Cricetulus griseus: one gene and its partners. The protein of the gene in region 4 interacts with the protein of the main gene of each other region in a pairwise test. Links are inferred from orthologs where the notes say so. Each region holds a gene or a part of one and is shown on either strand. Other genes may lie near its edges. The genes, in order: leukocyte receptor cluster member 8 homolog, Trir, Qki and Snrpa.

Region 1 (4,089 bases), about 14 Mb from region 4:
CATGTCAGGTGGCTCACAGACACCTCTAACTTCAGCTCCAAGGGATCTAATGCCTCTTCTGACCTCCGTGTGTATGAATGCCCCACCCGCCATGGAAAGCTCATCCTAGCCCCCAGAATATGGATTTCTTTTTCCAGGCAGGTACAGGTCCCATTGTGTCTTGCTCCTCTTTCCTACCAAAATGGGCTGTGTTTCCCTTAGCCCTACTAACCAATCTGCGCTGCGCTGATCACCCACGTTGGCCGCCATCTGGACCTTGGGGTGTAGGGGGTAGACCTCGGGAGCCAGACTGCTTTTTCACTGTCTGTAAGAGAAAAGATGAGTTAGGCCAGCATTGGTGGCACACGCCTTTAATCCCAGCACTCGGGAGGCAGAGGCAGAGGCAGAGGCAGAGGCAGAGGCAGAGGCAGAGGCAGAGGCAGAGGCAGAGGCAGAGGGATCTCTGTGAGTTTGAGACCAGCCTGGTCTACTAGAACTAGTTCCCGGATAGTCTCCAAAGCCACAGAAACCCTGCCTTGAAAAACAAAAAACAAAACAAAAAAAAAAAAAAAAAAAACAAAACAAAACAAAAAACAAAAAGAAAAGAAAAAAGATGAGTTAGGAAGACCCAAAGAAGCGAGTATGTTGGATCCCATAAAAAGAACAGGCAGGAAAGACAGAGTATCTCACAGAAGGAAGCACTGGCAAAGTGTGAAAGAGAATTCAAGCACCGTAACCTATGTCTGCAATCCCAGCACTCTTTGGGAGTTGAGGGCCCTGCTTGGTCAAGTGTTGAAATCCTGTCTCTAAAACAAACAGCCAAAAGAGTGGAACAAAGAGCCTTGAGCATGAAGACACTGAATTCCCTAAAACACAGGGTGTCAGAATAAAAGACAGAGGAGATGGTGAAACTGTCATTCGAAGAGCAGATGAGGGGAACCCAGGCCCGGGGATGGATGGGGAGACCTCAGTCCTGGGCAGGGATCTAAAGAGAATCCCCAGAGTACTGACATGGATCCGCCTGCCTCTGCCTCACCACCACCTGGGCTTTGACAGGGATTCTGGGCTGGTGGCGGTGGGAGGAAGGCATCCCAGCAAGTAAAGTCTTAATAATCAGTCAATAAAGTATTAGCTATCCAGAAGTCTGGCAAGACTCAAGTTTCTAAGGAGCATGGAGCGGAGACTTCGAGGAGAACACTGGAGAACAGAGCCAAGTTCCCCCAAGGAAAGGGACCTCTCTGGATCCCACTGAGGAGCTTCACAAAGGGGAGGTGGGGAAGGCTCTCCCTGTGGGAAGGAGGCACTGGCTGTCAGCACCTCAAGCAATTCGAGTCCCCAGAGGACAGAGAGGAAACCCAGTATGGGTTGTTCCTAGGCACAGGAGCTGCTCTGGGAGAAACAACAGGCAACCCCTTGGGGAGGGTGTCTGCAGATAACCCTTCCTTTCTTCCTTCCTTCCTTCCTTCCAGGATGCCCCTGTGGGTAGGACTATGTACGTGTGTGTGTGTGTGTGTGTGTGTGTGTGTGTGTGTGTGTGTGTGTGTGTGTGTGTGTGTGTGTGTGTGTGTGTGTGTGTTGTGTGTACATGGACTGGACGGTGGACAGTCCTGAAAGAAACGTGAAAAAGACTGGGGGGAGGGGGGCTCCGGGGACCCAAACGATAGGATTTACAGAGAATAAGTCCATTGAAGAACCCGGTATCTTACAGGAAGCCTAAGGAGCGCTGAAAGGCCTCAACGAGCTTTCTAAAATAAATAAATAAATATGACAGGCCTCAAAGAGCTTTCTAAATCAATCAATCAATCAATCAGGCCTCAGAGAGCTCTCTAAATAAATAAATAAATATGACAGGCCTCAGAGAGCTTTCTAAATAAATAAATAAATACGACAGGCCTCAGAGAGCTTTCTAAATAAATAAATAAGACAGGCCTCAGAGAGCTTTCTGAATAAATAAATAAATAGACAGGCCTCAGAGAGCTTTCTAAATAAATAAATAAACAAATGACTGTTGGGTGGAGCCGGGGGTGGGGGTGTCAGAACTCGGGGTGCAGGCGGGAGAGCATCAGGAGTGAGGCCTGGGGTGGGAGGGGGACAAGGGGTCTGACGGGCAAGGACGACACGGGCTCTTATTACAAAGACTCAGGAGCACCTGGCTGTCCCGCAGGCACGGGGGTCCCCGACACCCGGTGGAGGAGACAGAGGCCGCCCTGAACCCACGCGACGCCCCCCAAGCTGCCAGCCCCGGTCCCCGCCCGTCCGCGGCCAGCAGCCAGCAGCCAGCAGCAGCCAGCATCCACCAGCCCGGCCCGGCCGCGCCTGCGCACCACCACGCCGCCCGAGGGCCTCGCTCCGGGTTGCCCGGGGCAACGGGGCGGCGCGCGTAACAGCCGGTCAATGGGGAGGGGCGGGGCCGCCCAGGGGCGCGTGTGCGCACGCGCGGGGGCGGCGAGGGGGAGGGGCCCGCCGGTTACGCGCGCGCGCGCCTCGCCCGACCCCCCCCCGCCTCAACCCCCTCCCCCCCCTCCCGTCACCGCACAGCGCGCATGCGCGGCGGCCACACCCTTGGCGGAGGCTGGGTGCGGCGTCGGTTAGGCTCCCCCAGCAGGCCCGGGCTCGCCGGGAGCGGCGCCGGGAGGAGTTGCCTGCGCCCGCCCGTCCCGCCCGCCCGTCCGTCCCCGCCGCTCCTCACACTCACCAGGGCCGCTCGCTCCCGGGGTTCGTCACCGGCGGCCACCAAGGCGGCGACAAGACAACCGCGAAAAGCGCTCGGTCACCGGCCGGCTCGGCTGGGGCTGCAACGTCCTGGCCGCGACGCGATGGCGTCACCGCGACGCCCCGCCCCGCCCCGCGACGCCTCGCCCTCCGGCCGTCCCGACGCCCGCCCGCCCCCGCCCCCGCCCTCACCCGGCGCCGCGCACAGCCAATGGGGTGTCACGGCTCGCTCGGGGACCCCGCCCTCCGCCCGGCGCGCCCCGCCCACGCCCGGGCAAGCGTGTGGGCGTTTGGTGGGCGAGCCGGAAGCGGGGCGTGGACGGCGGCCCCGTGGGGACAAGCGCCGCGGGCGCTCGCGGTTAAGACGGTCTAGTTTGGAGCCTAGTCTTTAGTCGTGAGCTGTGCAGCGCCACGGCTTAGTTTGTTTGTCTGTCTGTCTGTCTGTGTTTAAAGGAGTGGGATGAGTCTTTGAGTCTGTCTTGGGGATGAGTCTTCCCCACCCGGTAGGCTTTGCTGAGTGAGTAAACCTGGCTGGCGTGGGCAACAGTGAGTGCGAGCCCAAGCAAGCGGGAAACAAGCCATCCATTGAGGAGCCGGAGGAGCCTCGGGGCTGCGACGCCGGAAAGGTAGCTGGGGCGCAGGTGTAGGGAGAGGAAGCCTACAGAGCCGGCTCACAGTAGGATTTTTTTTTTTTTTTTTTTGTCTTTTTATTTTTTGGTTTTTGAGATACGGTTTCTCTGTGTAGCTTTGGAGCCTATCCTGGAACCCGCCCTGTAGACCAGGCTGATCTCGAACTCACAGAGATCCCCCTGCCTCTGCCTCTGCCTCCCCAGTGCTGGGATTAAAGGCGAGCATCGCCACCAACGCCCAGCTCACAATAGGCTTTCCTTAAAGCTCTCAGTTTACAACAGCAATGATTGAATTGTGCCGTCCCAGTAGGGGATCCCTGTTAAAATCAGTCAATGAAACAGTACCTTACAGCCCGGCTTCTGCTCCCAGTTGGTACTGGCGACTTTTGGCAACTATGCAACACAAATAGCTTTGTATCATTTTGTTACTATTAGCACGCTAGGGTTTCTTCCCATCTCTCTCTCTCTCTCTCTCTCTCTCTCTCTCTCTCTCTCTCTCTCTCTGTGTGTGTCTCTTTCGTGTTTTTTTTAATAATGAACTTTTATTTTAGAATAAATTTGGGTTTACAGGGGAAAAAAGTTGCAGAGATAATACAGGAGTTAGGTGTAGTGTGTGCCCAGTTTCCCCTATTGCTACCACCTCGGATTCACCACGGTTTATTGGTTAAAAGTAAGAAACTGACATTGCTTTAATACTCTGCACTAAGCCGCAGATTTCACTTAGACTTCAATGCTTTTTTCATTAATGTTTTCTGCGTGCCGGGAGCGT
Region 2 (4,173 bases), on a different chromosome or scaffold from region 4:
AGGAGCACACTCGACTCAGCACCTGCCCTGGGCTGCCATGCCCAGGCAGTCCTGGGCCCCAGGCTACCCTCCCAGGGGGCCAGAGGAGTGCTCACCTTACTGGGGACTGGCTACGCCCTCACTCTTTCTGCCCAGGCCTGACCCTGTCCTGGCAGGGATCACATGGGTGGCAATACCTTTATTGAGCTTCACTATATACCCAGCCTTATATATCACACACAGAGTGCTGTGTCCATGGTATCTCCTCTCACATTCAGTTACATTATTTGAAAGATAGTAACTTTTAGAGATAGAGACAAGTGTCTGGGAGGGACAGGGCAGACTGCAAACAAGGGAGCAAAACCAGGGATACAGTGGTGCAAAGCCAGTGGGAGCATCCTGAACCACACCCCTAAATCTCCCGCCTTGCTTTTTTGTTGTTATTGTTTTTTGAAGATAAGGTTTCTCTATAAAACAGTCCTGGTTGTTCTGGAACTCATTCTGTAGACCAGGCTGGCCTTGAACTCAGAGATCTGCCTGCCTCTGCCTCCAATGCTGGGATTAAAGGCGTGCGGCAGCATCAGCAGCAGCATCAGCAGCAGAACCACCACCACCACCACCACCACCACCACCACCACCACCACCACCACCACCACCACCACCACCTAGCTGGCCTGGCTTTTTGAGGAGTGTAACTATAATGGCTACTCCTGAACAAATAGAAATAACAGTAACACTACTGCTGCTCCCATTCCTGGAAAAGATTTCATCCTCTACTCTTAAACATCACATCAACCTAAGTCCTATCACTTTCTACTTCCTCTAAGAACAGATGGGAACCTTGGTAAACCATCTTCTCCCCTTAACTGAGGGCCTCCAAGACATCATCCTGTACTCACCCTTCAACTAGACATCAGTTAGTGCTGGGACTATCTCCTCCCCAATCACAACTTTTCGTGTAGCACTGCAGATGCAATCTAGGGTCTCAAGCACTTGAAGCTATCTACTATGGAGCTAAATTCCCAGACCTCTTGATTTTATTTTAAGACAGGTCTCACTAAATTGCTCAGGCTGGCTCTGAATTCATTCTGTTCTTAAGATCCTCTGGTCTCAGAGTAGCCGAGATTATAGAAACACACTACTGTACCCAACCACTCAAACATAGCCTTTTCGTTGTTTTTAGAAACAAGTTATTGCTATGTAACCTTGGCTGAACTCAAACTCTGCAATCCTCCTGTCTCATCCTCCACAGTGCTAGGATTGATTACACATATGCATTGCCTTGTCTGGCTCACATACCCTTTTAAGAGCTAAAGAAACTTAAGCCTTGCCCCAAACCACAGAGCTGGATCCAGGACTTGACCCTCAATGTCATCCTCAAACCAACATTTCTCCCTCCCCACTATAGGACCTCTAACTCAACACCGGAGACAAAGCAAGCTCACAACTAACAAAAATTATATATCCAATTTATTTAACTCAGAGCTCCTCAACCTGGTACTCTAGACATTTTCAGCTAGATCATTCTTTGTTATCCCATGCACTGTAGGATATTGAACAGCATCCTTGTACCTACCCATAGATGTCACTAGCATCTCCTCTCAGAGTTTTAACAACCAAAATGTCTACAGACTTTACCAAATAAATACACAAGGGTGAGGAGACTTGTCCCCAATAGAGAACCACTGGTCTAGTTCTTTCTGTAGAGTCTGTACTGACTTTTCTATGGAATACTCACATTAAAAGGTGAAATTACGGCAATTGTTAGAACTACAGAAAATCAGGGTAGGCAACCCAGGCTCCAAACAAACAGCGATCTTTTCTGTCAAATTCACCACTGAATACCCAGCACAAGGTGCTCAATTAACGGAAAATAGTTAAATGATATAGAAAGGAATCGAATGATCTTCCTAAGGCCACAAAGTCAGTGATTTGCTTTTTCTTGTTGGTTGGTTTTGTTTAATTCGGACAGGATCTCACTTTCCAATCCTCAATCTTCTTGAATCCGGAGTGCTGGTATTGCAAGGCGTGTGCCACCACGCCCGGCTACGGTCCGTGGTCTGAGTCTAACGAATGCAGCAGACTCAAAATTTGAATTTGTCCCTTCCTTTTCCCCAGATTGTGTTTGGGTACCCACTAATCAAAGTCTGGGTACAAATCAAACAGGAATCCTAGCATCTAGGGTCTCCTATCCCCAGAGTGCTGCTTCCAATGCAATTCCCGGTTCCCAGGTTCCACGAGTAAGATCTGGGGGTTCCCACGACCTCCCAGAAACACCTCTCGTCCGGAATCCAGGTACAACGTTCTCAGCAAACGACCGGGACCGTCGGGGCATCCCGGCGGAGAACTGCCTTGGACCATGACGCCCCTTCCCGGGTCCGACTCCCCCTGCCAACACGGGCCCCGGCGCCCGCCCCCACCCCCGCGGCTCCTTACGAAGCTGAGCGTGGGGCCTGGGCCGCCCTTCCTCTTCGGATTCCCAGGGCCCGCCGCGGCGGAGGCCGATGGGTCGGGTCGCTGCGGGCCCGGGGGTGGCTCCTCCTGCCGCTGCCGCTGCTCCTCCTCCATCTTCCGCTTGAACAGCTCCAGGAAGCTGCCGTCGTTGGCGAACAAGTTCACACCACCGGACACCGGACTTGAGCCCGACACCTCGTCGTCCCCGCTCTCGGGTGACGTTCCCGGCCCCGACTCAGCCCATCGGCTCCTGCCGCCGCCCGCCGGGCCGGGCACCTCCCGACTCGGAGGCTCCGCCCGTCTCCCTCGGGCAGCCATTTTGTCGCCAGGTGCCGCGCAAGGGACTTCGGGAAAGGATCTCAGACCGCGCGCTTGGCGCGGGACTGGCTTCGTCTGGAGCACTGCATGCTGGGAAGAGAGGTCTGATCCCAGAAGCCAACGCGGAGTGGGCGGGACTTGGGCGGGGCAAAGGTGCTCTGACCTGGCGACCAGTGGGTGGAGCCTAGAAGCCGGGTTCCTTGCCTTCTGTTCCTCGGATTTCCCTAATCCTGCCAGACAGAATGGAACCATCGTCTGGGGCCCGCGATCCCTCTAAAGGCTGAGAGCACAATCATAGTCGGCCACCAGAACTCTGTAATTGAAAGAATGTTGTTTGCGTACACTTGGGAACTTGGGTGGCCCCTAACTAGGTCTAGAAAGCATATCTGTCTGACTCGGCACCTCCTATTAGAAACGGGAGCTTCTCTAGACCGGGCATCTGCCTCGGCATTTAATCTCTTACCTTTAAGTAAGGATACTGCTGGCTGCGTGCAGCTAGACGCCCTGTCTGAGAGTCGTAGTATTTTACAAGTTGAGCACTCAAATGAAGCCGGAGATATTTCCAGCCTGATCCTTCTCTTAAGACTTAATGTTCTGAGCTGGGTTCTGCACCAAGGGACTAAGAACCCTCCTCGTACTCTTCCCCGAGGACAGGGACTCAGTTCAGACAGCACTGGCTAGACTTGGAGCACACACGTGTGCACGGGGATGGGGGTGAGCAGAGCGCCAAGCGCAGCTAGAGTTTCGGAAGTTAAAGTTCTCTCGACTGTGACAAATAGCACTCCTGCCCAGCATGGGTATTCCGGGCACACGGGACAAAGGTCTGCGTGCTCTGCCACAAATGGAGTCTCTTTGCCTTTTAGCGACCCTACTAACCATTTCGTTCGTGATCGTTTTGCGGCCGGAGTCAGGTGGCTCACAGCCAACAGAGTAACTGGCGGACAAGAAGAGACGTTGAGGTCCAAAGCAGAAAGAAAGAGGGAAAAGATAATCAGGAAACGGAGCCTATAGAATCGAGGCAAGAGACACCTCTGCTGTAACTTCGTTCAAAGAGCTTAGACAGGATGTTTGGCTGGTTGCTAAGGAGACAGAGGTTGACGCCCACAGGGACTTGAGCGTGGCTAGCGGAAGTAAGACGGGATGCAGCCAATGGAAAGAGTGCCGCAAGACGGAGGACCCAATCAGTGAAGGGCACTACCGTGGGTCACACCACTACGCTCACAAGGCAGGGGAATTCTTAGAAAACTGCAGGCGAAAGTTCACCAAGGGGAACCTTCGACGCATAAAACGGGAAAATACAGCGTCCATTGTCCCCAAGTGTCAACTCAGGAGGAAAATAAGTCAGACTTCCAGCCTGCACAGGGATGTGGCAGACTCATTTCCCCTGTAGTTGCTTAGGACGTGGTGCGTTCCGCTTGATCA
Region 3 (4,059 bases), on a different chromosome or scaffold from region 4:
AAGTTGTTAGTCAACTGAAAATTCTCAAACAGGAACTATATTAAAAGCTCACTGCTTGAAAGTATTTTAAAAATAAAATTGCTAGACAGTCCCATTCAAAATTTCTAACTATCAGAGAATAGAATATCTCAATGCCATTGAACAATTTAATCCCTAAAGTGAAACTTAGTTTTATCTGAATTTAAAAGTAATCTTTCTGCCAAGCATTACAGACAAAGGAGAGTGTAATCCCTAACCACAAACACAAGTCATGATTAATTTGTTTTTGGACAATGAGAGGCCACAAGGGGGTAAAGCACAAGTTGCCAATTTTCACAATTAAGTCATCTAGCAAGAAAATTATGATCTTGCACTTAAGAAACCAGTATTTTCAAGTCAAATTAAATTTATAATAAGACTAGCAAGTACAGGAAAAGGCTTATAACACATTAAGGACTAGCCCCTGTCCTGCAACATTTGCTCTGATATGATTAAAACAATCACACTTCCTATTCATTCTGAGGTCTATTGTAAACACACTACCTACAAGCATGGAAGTTCTCTGTATACTGGCCTAATGCAGACTCCTGAGTACAGAAGGCAGACTGAGGTGAAAGATGGAGAAAACAGGAAAAGGAAAGAAACAAATATTATTTTGAATACTGTAATCCTAAACTAGCTTTCTTTTACATTTGGAACACAAAGGGTTACTATTTCTAACTAGAGAGTAATAAACAAGCCTGTGCAGAAATAATGACATAATTGAAATTCCTCCAGCTGACTTATGCCAACCTCAAACTAAGGTGGTTATATCTGATCAGTCTGAAAGACTACATGAGCAGCCTTTTACAACTAATCGAGGAAACTCCTATAGTATTTCCAAACTTTTTATGATCTCAATATGTCACTTGAGTATACGGAGAACTTTAAGAATGCATATTAATCCATTTTAAATGCTGTCTAGGCGTGTAAGAGATTCCCCATACACTGTACTTTTAAAAAACTATAATTTTCATCATAAATTTCACAGTAATACCATGAAAACAACACACCAAGTGAAAAAATAACAGTAAATTAGGTGTTGTCTCTGAAATCACATTTGTGGATAAATAATGACAGGTGAAGTCACCTAAAATTTAAATTTCTACTGAACTTAATATAGGTCAGATTTTTAAGCATGCTAGACATTTTGTTCCAAACATTCCAAGGTTAAAAAAAAATAGCTGGCGCCCCTTAGCGCTCACATTTGGAAATACTCAATTGAAGAGTTCCAGCACACACACACCCTCCTTTTTTTTTTTTTTTTTTTTTTTTTTTTTTGACATTCCAGAAAGTTTTCTGCCTCCACAATCTTTCAAATGCCAACACAAATAGGCAAAACCCCTTAAAGGGGCAGCACAACTTTCCTCCGAGGCGTCTGAGACTAACAGACACGCGGACCCAAAAGTAGGAAATGTCCCTTTCGACTTGTTACTGTTGTATGCATGTTCAGGCGTCATAACTGAGCGCTTTCTGCCTCAAGTCCTGCCTATGGCTCCCCACCCAAAAGAAGCTCGCTCTTAGCTCGGAGGTATTCAAAGTCTTTTGTTCTTCCCTGATATGCCTGCTCCTTGAGCATAAATTTTGATTTCTCTAGCTGTATTTGAAAATATTTCGAGATTCTTCTCAAGATGCTAAAATCCACTGTTCATCCGCACATCAGCACAGTTTTCCGCTTCCTTCAGACAGCCCCCCGCCTGGAGACTTTTAAAAACAAAAGGGAAACTCCCCGCTACACGGTTTTCAAAGCGGACTTGTTGGTCCTCCTGCCCCACAGGCCGCCCCGGGAATCCGCGGAAACCCACGGCTCCTGGGAACTAACACTCCAGGTCGCTGCTGAGAGAAGTTCTTAGAGGACTGCCAGAGCTGACCAGCATGCATCTTCTAGCCACTCTTCGCTCCCTGCAGCGCTCCCAACTCGGCTTCTGCAAACTTGCGCTCTATTTTATTCCCGTCCTTTCAAACTTCCAGCTCCCCGCCCCAGGGACGCGGGCGGCTACGCCTGGAGCTAACCCTCCGCCCCAGTGAGTTCTTCCGAACTCGGATTCCGTTCAGGTCTGTCATCGCGGTATTTCATACTCCTCCCCCCGCCACCCAAAAAAAAAAAAAAAAAGTGAAGTTAAACTCCCAAACAGTTCTCGCTTCCCTAAACAAAGGACAAAAAAAGTGCTGTGCTCTGTGTCAGCTCGTGCTCGCCTTCGGCCACATAAGCACTACTTTTCGGTACCCTACGTAATCTGTGGACACCCGAAGAGTCCACTCCTGTACCGCGGGCCACACAACTCCACTGAGACGGGCACCCCCAGCCGGGGCCCCGCGGGCGAGGCGAGGCAGAGCTCGCGTGGCCCGGCCAGATCGGTCGGGATGGCGGGGTGTCTATCTGCCGCGCCGTCGGGAGCTGGCCGCAGCCCCGCCGCCCCGCCGCCCTGCCGCCCGCGAGCTCCGGGTCCGCCCTCGGGCCTGCCCCGGCCCTGGCCCCGACCCGCCGCGAGCCGCCCGCGCCGCCTTTGTGCGCCCGCCCGCCTGACCTTCCCGCCGCCCCGCCATCCCGGGCCGCCGCGCCCGCCCGCTCGCCCGCGGGGGTCGAGAGGCTCACCTTCGTCCAGCAGCCGCTCGAGGTGGTTGAAGATCCCGCAGAAGTTGGGCAGGCTGCTCATGAGCTTCTTGTCGTTCATCAGCTGCATCAAGTAATCTGGGGTGGGCTTCGGCTTCTCCTTCGTTTCCATTTCCCCGACCATATTCCAGGCTCCGCAGCTCACTCCGCCCGCGCCGCCGCCGCCGCGCGCCGCCGGAGGAGGAGAGAGGAGGAGGAGAGGAGGGAGGGGCGGGGCGAGCTCCGGCCGCCGGCCGCTCGGACGCGGCGTCCCGCTCCGCGCCGACTCCGCTCCGGCTCCCGCGCCGAGCCCCGGGGCGGCCGGCTCCGCGCGCCCGCCCGCCCCCCCGCAGGCACTTTCGCCCGGCCCGACGCGCCGCGGCCGCCGCTCCTCGGCCGCCCGGCGCGGCTCCCCTCGCGAGGCCGGCGGCGGAGGCGGGTCTCGGGGCCGAGCGCGGCGCGGGGCCGCTGCGCCGCGAGGAGTCGAGGGGCCGCTCGTCGGCCGGTCGCGCCGCCTGCGCCGAAGCTCGCGAGTCTGCGGTGCTGTCCGCCGCGGCGCCCCCGCGTTGCCGCCGCCGCCGCCGCCGCTCCGACTGCCGCTCCTCCTCTTCCTCCGCGGCTCTCCTCCTCCTCACTCACTTGGCGGCGGAGTTCGCCTCAGTTCAGGCGGCGCTGCCGGCGGCGGCGGGGGGAGGGGCGCGGGCAGGGCCGGGGGCGGGCGGCGGGCCGGGCGCGCAGGGCGGCCGTTACGGGGCTAGGCGCGCTCCCGCCCCCCGCCGCCGCCGGCGCCCCTGCCCCTGGCCGCTCGGGCGGGACGGACGGACGGCCGGCTGGTGGCCGAGGGCCGGGCCGCGGCTGAGGGGGACGCGCGCCGGCTGCGGCGGCCTGCGCGGGGCCGGGGTCGCGGCTGAGGGGACGCGGGCGGCGGCGCTGGCTCGTCGGCGCGCTGTTGCTGAGGCGGCGGGCGCGGTCGGGCGCGTCGGCTGAGAGGAATTCCGGCGGGACTATGCGCGGGCGCTGCGCTCGCCGCCGCCCTGGCCTCGCCTCTCGGCGCGTTACTATAGTTTGAGGGGATTTTTTTCTCTCTCTTTTTTTTTTTAAAACCTCTTCGTCCACCTTCCTCGCCACCCCTCAGGAAAAGAAAAAAAGGAGAATTTTTTTTTTTTTTAACGTCCTGTTGCTTCACTGGGGGCACTCTCGGGTGGGCATCACGTGGCCCGACACGTAGCCGTGAGGCCGAGGGCGCGTGCGCGCGTCGAGGGCTGTGGCCACGCCCCTTCCGAGGGTCGCCCCGCCCTATCGGCCGGAGAGCGCGCCTGCGTGGGGGGCGAGGGGGGGCAGCGGCGGTGGCCTCTGGACCGAGAAGCGGGCCGGAACCGTTCTGGCGCGGCGCCCACCCGGCGGGGCGGGCGGGGTGGGGGACCCGGCCGTCGGACCAGGCGCAGACG
Region 4 (4,296 bases):
ATGAGCCATCATGCTCAGTGTCTTGATCATTTTGTGTCCCCACAGCCCCAGATTAAGGAACACTGAAAGTAAAGGACCAAGCAAGAAAAGTAGCATCCTCACGGAACACTACAGGCCACACCCACCCAGCTTCCTACAGCCTCCATAGTCAAGATGCTCACCATGGGCTTGTCGTAGAAGGGGAAACCCTGCATGGAACGCAGGGCATTCGTGGCGCTGCTGACCTCCTTGAAGATGACAAAGGCCTGGCCCCTCATCTTCAGGCTCCGAGACACCAGGATATCCAGGATCTGGCCAAACTGGGAGAAGATGGCATACAGGGACTTCTTGAGCTCTGCATTCAGGGAAAACAAGACACACTGTAACAAAAGGCCTGGGCACTGTGTCCTGGGACCTGCACTAACTATCCTTGGATGATGAACAGTTCAAACAAGGGGCCACTGCCAAGTGACAAATTACCCAGAATGCTACAGCACTACAACCCACATTCATACACACACACACACACACACACAATAAATACATAAAAATACTTGCTTCTGTTTACTATTTGTATGTGTGCTAGAATTCAGCCTTTGTAGAAAAGTAAACATTCTACTCCAGGACCTTACTTCCAGGCAAGAACGGAATTATTTGGTGTGGGGTTTTGTTTAAAATTGTACAACCTTGGGACTGGAGAGATGGCTCAGAGGTTAAGAGCACCGACCGCTCTTCCAGAGGTCCTGAGTTCAATTCCCAGCAACCACATGGTGGCTCACAACCATCCGTTATGAGATCTGGTGCCCTCTTCTGGTGTGCAGACATACACAGAAGCAGAATGTTGTATACACAATAAACAAATAAAAATTGTACAACCTTTAAATATATAGTTGTTTTGAGACAAGGTTTTTGGTTTTTTTTTTTATTTTAATTAGGAAGAAAATTACATGTCAATCCCAGGTCCCTTTCTCCCCCCCCCCCTCCTCCCCTGACACCCTCCACGCCCCCCCCCATCCGGAACTAACTCTGTAGACCAGGCCAACCTCAAACTCAGAGATCTGCCTGCCTCTGCCTCCCAAGTGGTGGGATTAAAGGCGTGAGCCAGCCCAAAATATTTTTATTTTATGTGCGTGGGTTATTTTGCCTGCAGATGCTAGAAGAGGATGTCATATGCCCTGGAACTGGAGTTACACATTATAAACCTCCCTTGAGTGCTAGGAATCAAACTCAGGTCTTCTGGAAGAGCAGGCAGTACTCTTAACCACTGAGCCATCTCACCAGGCCAAGTAGGTTTCTTAGTTGCTGAGGTTCAGAACCCAGAGCCTTACCCATGCTAGGCAAGACTACTTGTATTCCTCAGACCTTTTGGAGTCAGGGTCTTGCTATGTACCCTGGGCTGGTCTGAAGTCAAGATTCTCCTGTCTCAGTCTCCTGAGTACTGGGATTACAGGCCTACACCACCACACCCAAAGAAACTGTCTTTGGTATCTTTTTCACTCATTGTGATCATGCAGCCATCTGGGAGTTACTCTGGGAGTCCCTTTCCCTAAGTAACAGAATTACAGCCATCTGCCATTCAAGCAGTTCAAGAATTTGCTTAACAGAACCGCACACTTGTGTCCCAACCATTTTTTTCTTGGTATTTGATCACGGGCAAGTACTACCACCCAAATTCCAATTTCTTAATCTTGAGAGGCTTGTTGAGAATTAAATATCTCCAAGACTACAGAACATTGTTACATAGCATTCATTACCCGTCACTTCTATACGTTCTTTGCATCGTAACTCATCACCAAGACCAACGCCCAGAGGCCAGTGGCCAAGAGACAGTCTCATGATAGCAGACTGCGCTGGGCTTGAGGGAGAGAAAGATCCCAAAGGGCTTCCCAGAAAGGAAGGGCCGGTGAGCTAAAACCTTGAAGATTATCGACAGTGTGCAGGTTAAAGAGCAGAGTGTAAAGTGGTTAAGGGTGTATTGAGAACCAAGGGCTCAGTAGGTACAAAAGGCCAAAGTTAACTCTTAAAGGACTCAATGGCAAGGCTGAGAAAGGAAAGTGGGCGCTAGAGGTGGAAGGGGTCAGCTCATGCGAGATCACCTAGAGTTCCGGGCTATCCCGGAGGACTTACCATCCTTCTTGATCTTCTCATTGAGGTTGTTGATATAAATAGTGTGGTTGGGACGGGTCTCAGGAACTGCCATGGTGTCAGATGCTCAGAAACGGCTTAAAGGGAGAAAAAGAGGCGACTTCAGCTCTCTAACGCTTTCCAAAACTCTCTGTTCAGGGGGCTGACGGGCTCTGCTCAGGGATCCTTCCAGGAGGAAGTTGGGTGAGACCGGAATTGGGGAAGAATGGCACAGCTTGGCAACAAAGCCCGCGTAGGACTCCGCTTCTCCAGCCCGCGTGCTGGGGGGGGGGAGGACTACGAATCCCAGAATGCTCTGCGAGCCTGTACCCAGCGGCGATCCCCATTGGTCCACGCGCTCGAACGGCGTCCAAGGAGGAAAAAAAAAAAAAAAAAAGGAACCCGGATGTGGGAGCCAGTTAAGACAGCAGGGACCGATTTGGGACACCTTCGTCTCTCCAAGAGGGGCCTCCGGAAGCGACGCGGCCGAAGGCCCGACGCCAAGTGCTCCGCCCGCCTCCCCAGCGCCCGCGGGCGTCTCCACCGCGGGAATTCACCACCTGGACCGCCGCGCCTGCCACGCCACTCCGCTCGGACACACAGCTTCCCGTCCCCGGCCGCGAGACGCTGACGGCGCGCGAACTCGGCAGGCGGCGACCGCCCCGAGTGAGAGCCTCTTCCCCGGCCTCAGCGCCCGCCCGCGAAAGGGACACGCGGCTTCCCGCCTCAGCACTAGTCCCCGCCCCCTCCCCAGGTGAGCAGACCAATCAAAGGAGGCGACGAGCTCTGGGCCAATCGGGACCTCGCTAGCGCGCCAGCGCAGGCTGCCCTCTCCGAAGCCACGCCTCTTCCCCTTCCGCCAGTACCGGGGGGGGGGGGGGTCACGTGGCCGCCGGGCCGCGTCGGGAGAGCCTGGCCGGGTCAAGGCCGCTCGTTTCCCTCCGCGGGGAGCGTGTACAAGTTCCTAAGTTCCCGCTCCTTAGGCGACCCTTGACCGCTGTGCCTGCTGTCAACTCTGACCGCTGCCCACCGCTAGGCTGCTTTCCCAGCCGCGTGCCCTTTTAACCTCATGACCTCTAAGCTCCTAAGATCGACCCTAAGGTTGCAGACTCGAGCCGGAGATGTGAGATGAGGCGGGTTACCCCACGCCTTACCCCCGATCTGAGCGCCCTGAGATGTGAGATGAGGCGGGTTACCCCACGCCTTACCCCCGATCTCAGCCCCCTGATTACAGAGATGTGAGATGAGGCCGGTTACCCCACGCCTTACTCCCCCCCCCCCCGATCTGAGCCCCCTGATTACGGAAATGAAGAAAACTAGCTAGCTCTAGTCCCTCCCAATGTCGCTCCATCCCCATGGCACAGCCCGCACCTTGGGGGAGCCTTCTTCTTCGTCATTTGATTCAGCCCAGTTTCTGTTCCCACGGTTTGAAATACCCACCCAGGTTCTCCCAGACCAACTGGTCAGGCACCGTATTCTGCAATTCAACTCTAATTTTTTTTTTAAACTCTTTGTAATTTTTAATACAGGTTTCTATGTGCGGGCCACATGTGAATACCACATCCAGTTGCTCTAAAAACTGAAGTCTCCATCCTTGAGAGATTTGAGAGGATCCCCCTTCTCACCCTCACATCAGCTCTTCCTGAAGACCCGACATGACGTCTTTCCCCTTAAAGCCCACAGTCCCCCCAGTAATCCCCGAACCCCAAGACGCCAGCATTCCACCTCCTTTACCCCCAAGTACCCTGGACTTAGCTTCGCCATCCCCTTCTGTCCCGCCGCCGCCGCCGCCTCCACCCCCACCCCCACCCTTGGCTGTGGAGGTTGTTTCCCCTCATGTCTACGGCCTGGAGAAGAGCCGGCTCCTGAAGGAGGCCTTGGAGAAGGCTGGCCCAGTCCCCAAAGGCAGAGAAGACGTAAAGAGGCTCCTGATGCTGCACAAGGACCGGTAGGGTTTGCAAACCCCCAGCACCCCAGGACTCATCCAACCACCTGTCTCCAAATCACCCCGCCTACCCCATCTCCCAGGGTTCCCATTTCCTTGATCTCAAGCAGCCAGGTGCCTTAAGCCTCCTACCTAGCTCTTCCCTGCTTGGCCTCTAGCAATAGAGAGAGCAGCTCCTGCTCATTCTTGGTTCTAAGCCAGTGATAGTGCCTCTGCCCTTCCAGACAGCGATTCCCAGAGTAGCCAGG

What was found.
Region 1: the proteins of Snrpa (region 4) and leukocyte receptor cluster member 8 homolog interact in binary tests that used the Homo sapiens proteins (3 or more experiments, as listed by UniProt). The two-hybrid records come from large-scale screens. The link is inferred for Cricetulus griseus from reciprocal best matches to the Homo sapiens genes SNRPA and LENG8.
Region 2: the proteins of Snrpa (region 4) and Trir interact in binary tests that used the Homo sapiens proteins (3 or more experiments, as listed by UniProt). The link is inferred for Cricetulus griseus from reciprocal best matches to the Homo sapiens genes SNRPA and TRIR.
Region 3: the proteins of Snrpa (region 4) and Qki interact in binary tests that used the Homo sapiens proteins (3 or more experiments, as listed by UniProt). The link is inferred for Cricetulus griseus from reciprocal best matches to the Homo sapiens genes SNRPA and QKI.

What each region holds. Positions count from the first base shown.
Region 1 is NC_048602.1:22,406,922-22,411,010, reverse strand, and holds the start of leukocyte receptor cluster member 8 homolog, read right to left. Parts: upstream 2,817-4,089; 5' UTR 2,675-2,816; intron 305-2,674; 5' UTR 250-304; coding exon 212-249; intron 1-211.
Region 2 is NC_048596.1:159,339,277-159,343,449, forward strand, and holds the start of Trir (telomerase RNA component interacting RNase), read right to left. Parts: upstream 2,824-4,173; 5' UTR 2,752-2,823; coding exon 2,416-2,751; intron 1-2,415. UniProt on the Homo sapiens protein: Exoribonuclease that is part of the telomerase RNA 3' end processing complex and which has the ability to cleave all four unpaired RNA nucleotides from the 5' end or 3' end with higher efficiency for purine bases.
Region 3 is NC_048595.1:290,489,435-290,493,493, reverse strand, and holds the start of Qki (protein quaking), read right to left. Parts: upstream 2,801-4,059; 5' UTR 2,757-2,800; coding exon 2,615-2,756; intron 1-2,614. UniProt on the Homo sapiens protein: RNA reader protein, which recognizes and binds specific RNAs, thereby regulating RNA metabolic processes, such as pre-mRNA splicing, circular RNA (circRNA) formation, mRNA export, mRNA stability and/or translation.
Region 4 is NC_048602.1:8,724,501-8,728,796, reverse strand, and holds the start of Snrpa (U1 small nuclear ribonucleoprotein A), read right to left. Parts: upstream 2,805-4,296; 5' UTR 2,664-2,804; intron 2,202-2,663; 5' UTR 2,180-2,201; coding exon 2,107-2,179; intron 335-2,106; coding exon 162-334; intron 1-161. Other genes in the region: CUNH19orf54 (UPF0692 protein C19orf54 homolog), read left to right, coding at 3,759-4,051. UniProt on the Homo sapiens protein: Component of the spliceosomal U1 snRNP, which is essential for recognition of the pre-mRNA 5' splice-site and the subsequent assembly of the spliceosome. U1 snRNP is the first snRNP to interact with pre-mRNA.